2 linked regions of the Caenorhabditis elegans genome follow. The protein of the gene in region 2 purifies or fractionates together with the protein of the main gene of each other region. This does not show direct contact. Each region holds a gene or a part of one and is shown on either strand. Other genes may lie near its edges.

The links. Proteins that work in one complex are often made in the same cells at the same time.
Region 1: the proteins of unc-3 (region 2) and let-363 fractionate together in Caenorhabditis elegans (co-fractionation; one large-scale study listed by BioGRID). This does not show direct contact.

The regions. Positions count from the first base shown.
Region 1 is NC_003279.8:5,242,872-5,250,884, forward strand, and holds the start of let-363 (Target of rapamycin homolog), read left to right. Parts: upstream 1-2,871; 5' UTR 2,872-2,909; coding exon 2,910-3,032; intron 3,033-3,087; coding exon 3,088-3,188; intron 3,189-3,241; coding exon 3,242-3,536; intron 3,537-3,580; coding exon 3,581-3,910; intron 3,911-3,959; coding exon 3,960-4,171; intron 4,172-4,215; coding exon 4,216-4,276; intron 4,277-4,326; coding exon 4,327-4,499; intron 4,500-4,638; coding exon 4,639-4,752; intron 4,753-4,798; coding exon 4,799-5,096; intron 5,097-5,703; coding exon 5,704-5,817; intron 5,818-5,866; coding exon 5,867-6,044; intron 6,045-6,480; coding exon 6,481-6,851; intron 6,852-6,862; exon of another isoform or gene 6,863-6,915; coding exon of another isoform or gene 6,916-7,020; intron 7,021-7,080; coding exon of another isoform or gene 7,081-7,566; intron 7,567-7,611; exon of another isoform or gene 7,612-7,666; intron 7,667-7,983; coding exon 7,984-8,013. Other genes in the region: mrpl-47 (Large ribosomal subunit protein uL29m), read left to right, coding at 1,522-1,616, 1,671-1,835, 1,886-1,991, 2,035-2,156, 2,205-2,421; B0261.5 (uncharacterized protein), read right to left, coding at 6,916-7,020, 7,081-7,566. UniProt on the Caenorhabditis elegans protein: Serine/threonine-protein kinase that regulates the mRNA translation machinery, probably by modulating the activity of translation factors such as eIF-4G and eIF-2. It may have some protein kinase activity instead of lipid kinase activity.
Region 2 is NC_003284.9:14,769,798-14,777,566, forward strand, and holds the start of unc-3 (Transcription factor unc-3), read left to right. Parts: upstream 1-3,740; 5' UTR 3,741-3,793; coding exon 3,794-3,879; intron 3,880-6,858; coding exon 6,859-6,918; intron 6,919-7,086; coding exon 7,087-7,304; intron 7,305-7,369; coding exon 7,370-7,425; intron 7,426-7,723; coding exon 7,724-7,769. Other genes in the region: Y16B4A.2 (Carboxypeptidase), read right to left, coding at 1-55, 102-250, 298-379, 789-914, 961-1,052, 1,190-1,613, 1,694-1,764, 1,899-2,027. UniProt on the Caenorhabditis elegans protein: Transcription factor. Involved in motor neuron fate determination and maintenance, acting as an activator of gene expression in a subset of motor neurons. May act in concert with GFI1 homolog pag-3 in motor neuron fate determination.

The sequences.
Region 1 (8,013 bases), on a different chromosome or scaffold from region 2:
GGATTTCAAGCAAAAATCTTCAATCATTTTCTAGCACGTCAAGTAAAAAGTAAAGCTTTCAAGCTTTTGCACCTCCTGATACGAATAATGAAAACATCATTAATATTTTAAACCTGCAGAAAAAATGGTTTTCCTGGTCGACTCTCAAAACTATGACCGATGAAAACTAAGTAATATCCACTTTATGGTGGTAAATAAACATATTTCAGATTACGCTCAAAAATATTTTATGACATTTGACAATTTGAGGATTATTAAAGTAATTTTAGCATTTTCCCCACTATACCATCTTTAATAAAAGAAAACTCAGTTTTCAATGTGATAAAGTGATATAAGAAGAATTGAACTAAAGGTGAGGGAGTATAAGAAACGAAATGAAATTGTCTTCTTTATCTTCCTGTCTCCTCCAGAACACTTTCCCTATCTTTTCAATTCATTTTGTGGTGCTCAGTGAGCATTAGTGCGATGTACAATCTTCAGAGACACAGAGACAAGACACAGGAAGGGGTTACAACCGCAATGAGCAAAATGTTTCGGACATTACTTCAAGATTGAAAGACGACACCTGACACAACACGACCTCTTAATGATAATATTGTTCAAAAAAAAAACTATTGGCATTTCAAAATGTACGATTCGACGATGGAATATCTTGTTCACACACTTTTATATATACCAGCCGTTCGCACACGCAAAGCGCGTGCTCCGACTGGCGTACGCTAAATTGTTTTAATGAATTTTAAAGTGCTAATGTAGCATTTTTGTACAGTTATACATTCTCCTGGAGTTTTGCGGACTTTCAAGAAAATTCTACAACTTTCCAGGTTTTTCTTTAAAAAATTCCCAGAACTTTTTAGAAAATTCTAGAACTTTTCGGATTTCTTCAAATTTTAAGCGCTTCCAGAATTTAATAATATAATTTTTCTAGGTGCTACAAGCTTCCAGTTTAATCAAAAAAACTGACCTCCAGGCATATAAATGACCGCATTTTTTATTGGGAGATTTATTTAGTTTTCGTAATTTCAAAAATTAATATCTGACTTAAATTGAACTTTTTTGAAAATGTTTCTTCGGGGACTTGTTTCAAATTTTAAGCGCTTTCAAAATTTAATAACAAAATTTTTCTAGGTGCCAGAAGCTTCCAGTTTAATCAAAAAAACTGACCTCCAGGCATATAAATGACCGCATTTATTTATTGGGAGATTAACTAAGTTTTCATAATTTCAAAAATTAATATCTGACTTAAAATGAACTTTTTTGTCGAAGAATTTTTTCAAGAAATAATTACTTGAAGTTAATTCAATGTTTTACTGAAAACCCATGTTAAAAGTATTAAAACTTGCTATTGAAATTTTATCTAGAAAAAACTATTTTTTGAATTACCTCTGCTATGGGGGAGGCAATTGTGCGGTGGAGCGCACTTGCCGCCCATTTATTATTTTTTGGCAGCAAGGTTTTCTCCAAAATATTCTATTTTTTAATGTTTTCTTTTGTTTTTATTGAATATTTTGCTCTTTATATATGCAAAATTTTGATTTTACCAATTTTCATTCTTTGAGGTTCTTCAAATCTACAATGTGGCGTAGTTTACCGAGTTTGGTGTCTTCGGCTGTTCGGTTAGTTGATAAATCGAAGTTTGTTGAATTCCAGTTAATTTTTGCTTCTTTTAGATCACAAAATGCCGTCAACACACGATTTTCCAGTACAATGAAACAATTTTTCGATGATGAAGCGAATTTTGGAAAAGCAGAGCTCCGCCCGAAACATCGGCCGGGCAGATCGTGGACAGCAGAAGAACTGAGATTAAAAAGCAATTCAGATTTGCATAAGCTTTGGTAATTTAATGGCAATTCGGTTTTAAATTTATTAAAAATTTAAATTTAAGGTATGTGTGCTTGAAGGAGCGAAATATGCTGATAACGATGAAAAAAGCGCACACTTCACGTGCCCGGAACATGCCAAACCCAGAGAGACTTGATCGTGTTCATGAGGTATATTTTAAAAATTTAATAAATGCAAAATGATATATTTCAGACAATGGATCGTATAGAATCAGTAGTTCACGAGCGAAATGATGCGGTCTTCCGTTTGGAAACTGGAGAATCCGCGGCTCCACGCAAGAGAACAATCACTTCATTCGCTGGATTTACATATCAGTGAGTTCCTGATAAAATTAATTTTTTTAAAATAAAAATATGTTCCAGAAAACAAGCCACAGAACACTTTGCACCACCTCAACTCGGCCAGAAAGAATACGAAACTCCATATCTCGACGACGATGCCTACGTGATGCAGAAGCTTTGGCAGGAAAAAGAATTCATGAAAAATCGAGATAGATTGGATGATGAGAAGAGACGAGCGGCACGAACAGAAGACATGGACAGATTCAAGAGAGGAGCTCCACGAGTTTTCAATCGATAAAAAGTTGTTTCTAGATATTTTTTTTGTTTTCGAGTAGGCTTTTAAAAATGTTGTTTGCTTTGCTTCCTTCCTCAGTTTATTTAGTTTTTCAAAGAATATCCATTGTTCTTTTTTCTTGATATTTTGAAATATGCAACGGGTTTTGTCAGCCCATAGTTATCTGATATTACAAAAGGCTCCGTGTTGTTCTCATATTTTTCATTGAAAATCCCTTGATTTACATAGGAAAAAAAACCTAATTTTTAGCTGAAAAAAATTTAAAAAGTGGTAAAAAATTACCTGAAAGTTGTCTATTATCGAACTATCAAGCTATATTTTTCTGAAAACGGCCAGTTTTGAGCACTTTCTTGATTATTTCAGCTGGAAATAATTTTATTTTCGGAAAAAAACCAGTGATTTTCTATGCTTCTGATCATTCTCATAACTTTTTATTCTTAACGTAATTTTAAGCCCACAATGCACTAAATCGGCAGAAACATCTTTGAAAAATGCTCCAACAACACGGAATTAGTTTTCAAATGAATGCCGATAGACAGAACAAAGCAGCCACAACTTCCAATCGAATAGTCTCCGCTCCAGCTACAAATGAATTTGACGAGCGGCATCGTAAAGTTAGTATTTCTTCTCCTTTAAACAATTTTTAAGGAAAAAAAAATCATATTTCAGCAAGGGATTGATGCTGCAAGAGCTCTTGCTTCACAATATCGGAGCCGAATTACGGAAAATAGAGATGCAAATCAACGACAGGCTGCTCGAGAACTCAGCAGGTAGTTTTTTTTTTAAATAAAAGTCAATAAATTAAATATATTATTTTCCTCAGATATGTTCGAAGTGAGCTGAAAGACGAGCCAAATACTTTTAGTGATGCTTTCCTGAATGCAATCGATGGACGAACAGATATAGCCTCTCAGAGTGCAATTTATAATTGTATGAAGTCGAATTCAAATATCGATCAGAAACGAGCCGGTATCTATCTCATCGTGTGCTTAGCTGAAACTCATTCTGGAAATGTTATTCGATATGCGAATTATCTTCTGAAAATGTTAAATAATGGAAATGGATTAGATGAAGATACAGTCAAGATGGCTTCAAAAGCTCTCGCTTTTCTGATTGCGGTAAGTAATTTAATTTTTTTTAAACCAATTTTAAACATTTGCAGACTTGTAAATCATACGCGGCCGAGCTGGTTGATCGTTGTCTTGATCATTGCCACGAATGGCTTGGTCAAAATGTTCCACATAGTCAGCAACCCAAAAATCAACAGGAAATTGATCAAATTCGTCGACTCGCCGCTTCACACCTCTCTCGTGAGCTCGCACTGGCCACACCGACAGCATTCTTTCTTCGTGTAAACTTATTTTTCAAGTATATCTTCAACGCTGTCAGAGACAAGAATCCAGCTGTAAGAATCGCCGGAATTGATGCATTACACGTGGTTTTGACAATTGTTTCACAGCGTGAAGCAAAGAATAAAACTGAGTGGTTTAAGGTGATCAATTAAAATTTTGATCTTTCGTTAGAATGATTTTATATTCCAGAAATGTTTCGATGAAGCACTGGAAGGTCAACCAAACCCATCGCAAAAGGACGATTTGGATAGATGGCATGCCGTCGCCCTGATTCTCAATGAACTTCTTCGAATTTCTGATCAACGATTCGAACTCATCAGATGTGAATCCTCACAGTTTATTAAACAAAAGTTTTTGAAAGAAGACGAAGAAGAAGGTGTTGAATGGCTTGTCCTAACTAAGTAATCGATTCTTTTTCATCTATTTAAAAACTTGTATTTTTAAGGCAACAAACTATTGTGGAAAGTGTGACTGCTCGAAAGCTGGTTTTGGAACGATTTCCGAAGGTAAAAGCTGAAATTCTTCATTTCCCGAAATTTGTTATGTTTTTTTCCAGATACTCGATTGTGTTCGTCAGATAATACCTCTCGCAAACAAAACTTCATCCACGAAACAGCAAAGCTCGATTTACCTGAATACAGTTCTCATGCAGCTTCTACCAAGAATTTGTGCATTTCCACAATGTGATCGAACTTTTCAAACAATCTCATTCGACACTTCATTTACTATGTACGTAGAATGGAAGAGGACTGATGTTTATGGGCTTTTAGCTTTTATAGACTCGAAATGCGCTAAAAACGAATTTTGTAACGAGACTCAAAAAAAATTATGGTGATTCAAAATTTCCAATAATGTTCAATTTTTTCAGTCTTCAAAGAAATGCGGTCGCTGCTCCAGCAATCGGAATGATGATGCTCTCGAATCCAGATGTACATGCCACACATATCGAGAAAACAATCAGTTTTATCTCTGCTGCTATCAAGTAAATTTGAAATTAGTACACTTTTTTTAATAGTTAAATTTTGTAGAAAAACGACGAATTCTGATGTTCTCGATAATTATTTCACATTCCTGTTCCTATTTGTGGATGCTTATCACGAACAAGTGACGACACAAATCAAGGCAATAATTCCACAATTAATGGATATTACCCTGTCTCGATCGCTGGCAAACGTGCTAAAAATGATTATGATGAGAATTCCGAAACTGCGGCTGAATGTTCAAGATGGTGTTATGGCTTCTGTCTATCAAACACTCACTGGATCTCTAATTCCACCAAAATCCGAACCGATTGGAAGGCCTGCGAGTCCTAAAGCTATTTTGCAGGTTTGTTTCGTAGAGAAATTTTATAATTTTGCTCGAAGTAATTTTTTTGAATCTGAAAAGCACATAACATTTTTTAAATAAAGATCAGAATCCCATCAGATTTAAAAACGCTTACAATTTTATCTTTTTTGAAATAATTTTCCGTCAAAGTTTCGACATTTTTCTATATTCGAACCAAGGGCGTCGTTAAAAATTTGTATGATTTTTCGCTTTTTTCAGATATGTTCGAAAAACAAAAGACAGAGAAGCTATAAATTTATCGAAATTATCTTTTGAAAAATAGAGAAATGACCAGAAATTTTTCGAAATTTTTGATTTTTGTTTCCAGAAATCGTAAATTTAAAAGCCGAAAAATCGAAAAAAAAACCTAAACTTTGCGGGGTTTTCAAATATTTTCATAATCAGCAAAATAAGAAAATAGAAATGGCGACTTTTTAAAATTTAAATTTTTCGAACAGATTTCCTATGATATTTTATCATGTTAGCATTAACAATGGTTTTAAATATATTTCTCATTGGCGATATTTCTGTTGTGCAAAGAAGTAAATTCAAAAAATCTCAAATGAGAGTTTTGGGGTTGTATTTATGCAAAAGATTTATATTTCAGAAAGCAGAAACCGATCCAAAAGAGCTTCAACGAATCGTGCTGGCTGTCGATGTGCTCGGTGAATTCTATTTCTCAAGAGGTGCCTTGCAGAGAATCATGCAATACGTTGCAGATGTACGTTCGAAAGTTTTCTCGATTTTTCTGTAATTTTGTGGTTTTTCAGTACTACTTGACAGCGGACAATGTGGAAATCCGTTTGGCTGCTGTCTCTTCGTGTTGTGAAATGGTCGTACCATTTGTTGGAGTTTATAAAAAAGTTACAAGTGACAAGAGAAATAGTCTTCTTCAAACTATTTATGGTGTGCTGCGAGCTGTTTGTTCGGTTATTGTTAATGATCAAGGTAGGTATTTACTCGAAACTACGGTAACTGGTCGAAACGAGAATTAACCGCCTTTAAATAGCACTGTAATTTTAAAGTTTTATTTTTTTCGAAAATCGATAAACGAAAAAAATTGAATTTTCAATAATTCTTCTAGTCATCTCAATATTTTGGATTCATCATTTTTCGAAAAATCTATTTTTTTATTGTCTCGTCCGAACATCTCTCAATTTTTCTCGATTCTCAAAAAATGACAATTTCCCTATGATTTTCTGGAAAAAAGTCGGAAAATTTTAATGAAAATTCCGTAGCAACAAAAGTTTGAAATTACAGTACTCCTTAAAGGCGCATACCTTTTTCTATTAAAACAATTGTCGTGTCGAGACCGGGTACAGTACTAATGGCGCAAAATTGTGCTCCTGATCAAATATTCAAAAATGTTTTTAATTTATTTCAGATGTCCGTGTCAGAATGCAAGTAATCAGCTGTTTCGGACAAATGCCACGGCCATTCCTTGCTCATTTGGCTCAACCCGAAATGCTCGAAGTACAATTTATGGCTCTTCACGACGAAAAACTCGAAATGCAGCAAGCATGTGTGACGTTACTCGGACGACTCGCAGAGCTCAATCCGGCACTTGTTTTGCCACGTCTTCGATTGATGCTCCTAGAGACATTGAGTCAAATGCAACAAAGTGGTCAGGCAAGATTGGAGCAACATTCTGCGAAAATGATCGCGCAATTGGCGAAACAGAGTCCAAAGTTCATGAGACCATACGTTGGAAGTTTAATGATTGCTATGATTCCAAAATTGAGAAATGATCAAAAAGTTAGTTTTTTTTTGTATAAAAAAAATTTATTCCAAAATATTTTCCACAAAAAAGCTAAGAGGTCTATTTCGGAGCAGCTTCTGCGATTTTCCTGAGATCATCAGCTGACAAGTCACCCAGTTTTTCGTAGCCACCGTCCGCTCCGTCTGATCCATCATTAGGTTTGGCCTAAACAAAAAAATTTATAGAAAGATGAATTACGGTATCAAGTTAATTAAAATTTCCTACATTAGAAGCAATCTTTGATGGTTCACGAACTGTATGCATCATGGTATTGGCTCGAATTGCAGTGTGCATGCAGGAATCATCTGTATTTTTCGAGTTTTTTATCACAACTTCCTGTGTCTCCTGTGTTCGAGGACTCTTCTTATTCGCCTTCTTCTTCCGCTTATCCGATGCCTTCTTCTCCATTTTCAGTCCATCTTGTTTCTGTGCCTTCAGTGATCTCTGCTTGCTTTTCTTATCACTCAAATTCTTATTATTTTCTCCTAAAGTTGGAAGTTTTCCAGGCTTTGAAACATCCACAACAGCATCTTTTGATCCTCTTTTAGAATTTGTTTTCTCTTGACTAATCGTCGTTGAAGTGACTGTTGACACTTTTGATGGCTTCTTCTTACTCTGTGATGGTTTCTTTTTTAGACATCCAATTACAAAAAAGATGAGGAAAATAATTGGAAGGACAACAGTGATTGTACAACGGAATAATAATAGCATCTGAAAAAATAATATATTTTGAATTCAAAACTGTTGAAAACTCACTTCTTTTCCAAAATTGATCAAATGAAATTGTCACTCTGGATTATTAAAATATTTAAAAATCTAAATAATCGTCTTTGATAATTTCTGACAGCTTTTTTTCTACACGTCGATTAAATATTTTTTAAGATTTCTTTTAAATACATTTTTCAAAGCGTAAAAGAGACAGAAAATGTAATTTTTCTAAAAATTCACGATTTTTCGGTTTTCTTACGACTGCATAATAAGATTTTTGAAAAACTGAAAGGAAATTTTTTCTTTTTTTGTCTGAAAAATACCGAAAAAAATTATTTTGGCTAAAAAGAACTGATAGTTATACAAAATTTTACAAATGTGGTTCTTTTCGAACTTTTCAATAAAATTCACAAATTACAGTATGCCGAAGTGACTGCCCAAGTTCTGAAT
Region 2 (7,769 bases):
AATTGAGGAAATTCGGATTTGCAAATCCGTTGAGAGTTCTCCGTATGTCAGATTTCTGATCATATTATTGTTAAGTACTACATAGTATGCAAACTGCTCACCTGCAAGTCTGGAAGTTTGTACTTGCATTCACACTAACATGAAGTGCAGCTTGAACATCTTGTCTGTTTAAATAAGCGGCGGTGGCTGAAAGTGCAAAGCATGGATATCCTCTGAATGAGTCCGTTGAGTTGTAGTTATCTACAGCTGCCTGAAAGTTACTTCCTAATGTCAAGCGTTAAGCGTTATGTTCAATACATTAATTCCAAGTTGTTTGAAGGATGTTTGCCATGCAGCTTGGTTTCTGTAGCAGTCTTCGTTGATGTTTGTGTTGTCAATTCTGAAACCAAATTGATACAGAATGTTCAAGTATGGAAATGACTAAAAGCTTGAACATGTGTTCAAATAGATGGTCAGTAAATTTATAGAATCAATTGTATCAAAAGTTCATTTCTAAAAATCAAAAGTTCATTTCTAGTTGTAGCTGTGTGATCAAGTAAATCGATAATATCAAACTAAAGGCTAAAATGAATTTAATTTACATTGATTTCAGAACACCCCCTTCTTGTAAGTACTATCTTATTGGCTCTAAAATTTTAAATTGTTGCGTTGTTGCAATCTGGTCTTTGTTCTCTAATATTTTGTGACCATAGCACTTTCCCCTCATTTTGATGACTTTCCATTCCCAATTTCACAAGTGATAAAATCAAGTGTGCATTCCAAATTAAAAACGATCAAAAACCACGTACTGATAATTTGACCAAGTGGCAATTGCGTTGTCAGCTTTGGTTCTGCATGCTGTGTTACTGTTGAAAAAATCGCAAGTTTGGGTGGAAGCATTTGTGCAACAAACTGATTTGAGATCGTCATATTGTCTGAAAATAAATTCAAAATGATAAATGATAGAAAAATAGGTCCAACTTTGATCCGGCAAATCCATGAGTGTAGTAGAATGGGATGAGACTGTTGTATTGGAGGCGAGCACTCAAGTCACCATTTGCAAGAAGAAGTCCCTGAATTTTTCAAAAATTTCATTTTTAAAATTTCCCAGCAAACTTCAGAATTGAACTATGATAAGAATAAATAGAAACTCATAAAATTTGTTTTAATGTATCTGATAGTGTTGCAACAACTTTTGTAGATAACTCACTCGAATATTAACTGGAGAGGTAACAATGTCCGGTCTTGGAGTGTTATTCACCATCAGAGATTCTACCAACGACGAAGCAAAGAAAGATCCGTATCCTTCACCAGCAATGTAGAGATCAGAGTTTAGCATATTTGGATACACCGTATAGAAATCCATGAGAGCGTTAAGAAGAGCACCAGTTACGTAGCTGTCGTCTTGAAAGAGATTTTGTTGCCATGAGAAGCCGGCGCCCGGACCGTCGATGGCAAGCAAATTGGACACCTTGTTCCAAGCAAACACATTTTCATACACCGTCTGACTATCACTAGACACATGGAATGGGCCGATTTCCTGGATCTGCCCGAAAACTGAACTACATCCCGGACCTCCATTAATCCAAAGAAGGAGCGTATCATTGGAAGGGGTCAGTTGAGATTCGATTAACCTGAAATTGTTTTATTTTGTTTGGTAGTCAAGGTTCAGTATCCAGATAATAAAATGTTTAGATTAATATCTTGAACTTACCAATAGTGAAGATTGTTGTAGTTTTTGTTGGGATCAGAGTTGAGGTAACCCGCATACTGTTTGAAGTTCACCTAAAAGGTAATGTGTTTAATCAACCTGCGAACTTTTTTAGTTGTTTAAATTTTACCTAAAAACACAGAAATTTGGAATAAAATAATTCTGCATACATATTTTCAAAAAACAAAAATATAAAATGTATTATTACCTGAAAAATAGTCCCTGGCAGTTGATTAACCAAATCGGCCTGGGCTCTCGTGGTCGGCGTGGTTTGTCCATTCCGCAACGGCGCTAATAGTAGTAACAAACAAAGGAGTAAAATTTGATGCGCCGCCATTCGTATTGCACAAATGATGATGGCAATCACTATCAGTGCCCGAGCATCGCTTTTATAGAATAATGAAAGGAAATTTTACAAGCACACAGTTCAGTCGTTTCAGCGTTTCAGTCGTAAAATTTTGTTTCGTGAGCGTTGATATGTAAAGTGAGTTGACATTGTGAAATAAGTGCTGGATGGTACAAGACGTTCCGATGTCGAAAAATAGAAGGACGAGAAAAAAAAAACAACGCTGTCGTAAACCTGCTCTTTAAGTTTAGTCTGCCGATTGAAGCTGTGTATTAAAATATTTCTGTCAAGCATTTTTAAAAGGGAAGAATTAATTTCCCCACCATTATCAGAAAAAATTTCAAATGAATGCAACAAATCTAAAGCTATGTTATTGTATTTAATATTTGTATTACAAACTGCAAATACTGGAAAACTGTACAAACACGTGGTGTCAGAGTGTCTTATTTCGGTTTGATCTGCGTAGATCTACAAAAAATGCGGGAGAAGAGACGCAGAGTTCTCAACTGATTTCTCATGGTTAAAAATGTGCTGACGTCACATTTTTTTTTGGGAGAAAAATTCCCGCATTTTTTGTAGATCAAACCGTGATGGGACAGCCTGGCACCACGTGCATAAACAATATTCTTTATACAAACGGGGTGGTTCATAATTATGGGGTCCAGTTTACAACAGTGCAACTTTTTTTTGAAGTTGGAACAACACAACTGAATACCTACTTTAATTGCAGAAAAACCTTATGCATTCAAGTGGCTACAAGACCTCGCGTTCCGAAACTACAAATAAAATAAAACCCAATATAACACAACTTATATAATAATATTTCAGCTTCAATTCAACACCATGATAAATATTTTTGATAATTCCAGCATCCCTGAAAACGAACTTTGCGCACTCACTCACACCTGGAAACATCTTAGCAACTACGGTAGATCTGAAACATCGTTGCTTTAGTGAAAAGAAAAATACCGACTTGAGAACAATATTCTGTGTATATAAATGTTTTATCAAAGCAATTGTGATAACTTCGCCAAGTTGATAACTATGAGCAATATTACACTTCACTTGCACGACTTCAAATGCTGGCTCCTGGCTTGTTCCTAAAAGAAGATGGTCACAAATAGCCAAACACTCTACATTCTTGATTCCAGATACCGTAATCTGCAATAGGACACACGAATCTCCATCAATTTTCTTCGCTATCCTCTCATCCTCTCCCATCTCTTTATTTTTTTGTGCTTCTTCCGTTTTTTTTGTGTTGCCTTCTTCAGTGTTGTCTGTCTGACCTCTCACGTCTCAATTGTTGAAGATTGTGAAGAAGTATGCACAAAAGAGGACCAAGGCGTGGTATGCTATGCTTTCTAGGATGATTGATGAAATCCTTCACTTGACTTTTCTGTGTGTCATACAACTATTTTCTGTAATATTTTTGGTGAGCCACCACACCAGGCTTGAACGTGAAAGGGGTGCGAACAATCTTCCCCCAGCTGCCCCCCCATTTTTTTGCTGTAGAGATTTTCAAAGTTTCGCGCCGTGCCTTCCGGCTAATCAGGCATATCTCCATAACCATAATTCACAGTCAGCTGGCTCAATCCTCACACTCGCTCCGTTATTCCTCTCCTTGTTGCATCTATCAGGCGTACTTGGACGGGAGGCCGTCGGACCCAAACCGCTTGTGACATATAAGAGATTAATCTTTTGCAGAGTCGGTTGTGTAGCTGGTGTTGTTGCCTCCCACTTGATCCGAAAACTGTGGCATGAGTTTGACAGCTCCGCTAAGAGCTGGCCAGATGAACTTCTATGATGAACCTTATAATCCTGTATTAAATCTTCACATTCAACCGTAAGTTGTTTTACATGGCTTTTTAGGCTGCCTTGAAAAACTTGATGCTGGAAAATTGAGCAGAATCTTAATAAATAAATAAAGAGAATCTGGTATGGGAGCTGTACTGATCTGAGGCTCCGGAATACTGGAAGTTGTTAAAATAAAATTTATTTATTTTTGGGTTTGATACCGTTCAGACGTAACTCCTTAATTAAATTTGTCTTAGTAAAAGTCGAAGAGGTTCTACTAGAAGTTAATTCAAATTTATTACGTTTGGTACACAATTTCAAAAACAAGTCCATAATTATGGACCACCCTGTAGGATTAGGTGTTTGTGTATTATATGCCATCATATCTAGGTTATTCATTAATAACCATTACAAAGAAATTTGTTCAATTTTTGAGCTTAGGTTAATATTATTTCCAAGCATACTTCATACTAAACATATCATTCAATGGGTTAAATAATCTGGAAATTATAATATACAACTACATAGATATACAACTATTTCTTAACTAGGAATGAGCCCCCTAAATCACAAAAATACACCTTGTAAGCATCTTTTCTAAACCTGTCTATTTTCTAAAAACATTTTGATACCATATTCCTGAATACCAAAATGTGTATCTTTAAGGTGATTCATACCTCATTATTATGTTTGAAAGCCTCCTCATTCTCAATGCACTATTGGCTAAAGTTTTAGTCATTCTAACGAATCTATGACAATAGCTGTATACTAGCTATCACAAGCTAAATATCTCTTCGCTCATAATATTTTCCGTCTATCCTCAAACTCAACAGTTGTATATTCTCTTTTGACTTTGCTTCAATTAGCCGTACTCGGGCTCGTTGCCTAACAACCCACCCTCGGAATTGATAGCCACTATCATCCTTCTTTTTTGTCCATAACAGCCACTCTTATTAGTATTGCTTGGTGAGCGTTAATATTATTATCTGATGAATACTCAAACCTTGGAATCCTTGCTTTTCAGCAATTCTGGTGTCTTTGCGGACCTTCAAAGGTAAGATAGAACTTCTAGGACGACACTTTTGAAATAGAAGAGACCCAACTCCTTTTTTTTTGATGACGTTAGCGGGATTTCATTCCCAAAGGGGAAATTGTAAGGTGTTCATGGCTTGCGATACATTCTTGAGCTTTATTGGCGATGAGTTTAGTAAGTCTAGAATTATGTTTGAAACACTTAAATTAACAATTAACTTAGTAAGTATAACGTCATTTCTATAGCGTCATACGTTGTTATGATTCAGGTGCTGATGTTGAAGATGAACTTTTAGAAATAATTCAAAAAGTACATCATCTTGTTGTTCCCAAACGTTTTTGTAATCCATATTTCTTTCATTTTTCTGCTTGGATTTGAGCATTTTGTTTTTACATAAATTTCTCAATTCCTTCCGAATCTAGAATCCCGTACATGGTGAATGATGAGATTTGGGCTATTGAGATGTTACAAATTGCGTAGATGGCTACAAACTGATAACTGGAAACAAGTGGACAGAGAGAGGCCATCTCCGTTTCGCGCGTTTCGGTTATATATCTCTTATTGCTAGTCCAGAAATATTTGCATATTTCGAAAACGGGGCAGAGCACTCACAAACCCACACACAAACACACATACCAGTTATACGAGTTCGCAGCTGTCTTGTCGGATTTCAAACCATTTACATATATGACAGAGTGAAGTGAGGAGCCCACGAGCACACCACATATCACCATGTTTGGGAAAGATAGTAGAATGCTTCACTTTTTGTGTTGAGTTTTTTTTTTCTGAAATGGGTGAAGGCGTAGGAGCAAAGGAGCAAAGACAAGGAATCGTCTTCTGAACATTTATACAACAAATATTACAATTTCCAATAATCAATTATTAAACATAACATGAAGTCTGTTTCATTTCATTAAAGAGATAATTGCATTTTATGTTAGCTACTCGAAAAGTAGATTTTATTAATTGTTATGTTCGTAAAAATGTTCGTTCAAAACATTTATCAAAAACTCAGAAAATAACATTACTGTCTAGATCACGAAATCTAAAGGGAATTGAAATATAAAAATTTTTCATAATAGCAGCTATACAATAACAAAATAGCATTATCCCAAAAAATATTTTTAAGGGTTTTTTTTAGGAATTTCAGATAACCCATTTTCGTTTTAAATTAAATTAAAAAATTAAACCCATTTTCGTAATGAGATTTTTTGTACACTTTTTGAAAATGTTTCATGGCGGATCTGAACTTTGAAAACAATATTTCGTTTGCATATCGAATTATAATTTTTAGGCCTAAAAATAAAAATAGTACAGGGTTGGTCATTATCAAATTTTACACAAGTATCAAAATATGGTTAAGATGTTTTTTCTAAAATAAATTACAGTTTTATTACGGAACGAAAATACATTCAATAAGCATATATATATATATATATATATATATATATATATATATATATATATATATATTTGATTTTTGGGAACCTCTTAGCCAAGATTACGTAACAGAACAAAATATTTACTATGTTCATAAAACATGAAAAATATATAATTTTCATCTGCTTAAAAAAAAAAGTCGGTAGCGTTTTAAATGAGATCGCAATGGGAGAAGCACGAGAAATAATTATCTTTCGAGCCCAACTTCACCGAGTTGAAAAATTGAAGCACCCCCTAGTTCATCACATGTTTTTGGCTGGGTTTTCTCCCCGCCAAACCAAAACTTTGTCTATGCTTTTATCTGTGCTTCATCGTTACTCCAACATCAGTAAAGCCGGAGCCGCAGTCAAATCGGCCCGTCGCCAGATTCCTTTTTAGCTACTCTCCCCTCAATGTTTTTCCTACTGTGTGCCCACCCATTGGCCCCTAGTGCGCAGTAGGCGGAGCTTGCGAAGCTCTGCCGAGCACGCTTGTGGATCTGTGTCTAATGAGGCCGGTTCCCGAGGGGCCGCTGGCTGTGCAAATGTTCTTTCCTGACTCGAATACCTTACTCAGGTCTGTAAAAGATGAGAACCAGCGGAGCACGTGGCCAATCATCGACACGTCGAATACAAGGTTAGTTTTTAATTTTCTTATTTTTGATCCCTGGTGAAATATTCATTTCTCCAGAAACAATACTGAAAATTTATATATTTTTTGTATTTTTAATTGAAATAATTCTATTTAACAAATTAAATTGTAAACAACATTTCAAAACTTTTTATTCAAAATTTTTATCTTCAGCACTCAAATCGCACGAGCTCATTTCGAAAAGCACCCACCAAACAATCTCCGTAAATCCAACTTCTTTCACTTTGTCATTGCACTGTACGACCGTAACAGCCAGCCGATTGAAGTCGAGCGGACTCAGTTTGCAGGATTTGTTGAAAAAGAGAAAGAAGTTGACGGTCAGGATACCAGAAATGGGATACACTATCGTCTGTCTCTAATGTTTCAGAATGGTGAGTTGTTGGAATCTAAGAAAATCTAACTAATGGGAAAAATTGCAAACCTTTTTTTCTTTCAGGAATCCGCAGTGAGCATGATCTGTTTGTTCGGCTCATCGATAGTTCCACTAAACAGGTATATTTTTTTTGCTAGATAATTTTTTAGATCTATAACACATTCCACATACACATATAAAATGCGCCTAATTCCCTTACCAATATTTTCTCAATTTTGCCTACTGTAAGCCCGTTTATGTATAAGCATTCATCGAAGCTTCTTTCACATTCATCATTTTTATCTGGCACGGACAGAAAAAAAGGCAAGCTCTGTCTGAAGCATCGCCAAGTTTATCGGCGCGCGAGCACAAAAACGCGCGAAATGAGCATAGGCACCAAACACACAACACCATTAAAGTCATCACATCAAATTCTAGGCTATCACATACGAAGGACAAGATAAAAATCCGGAGATGTGCCGAG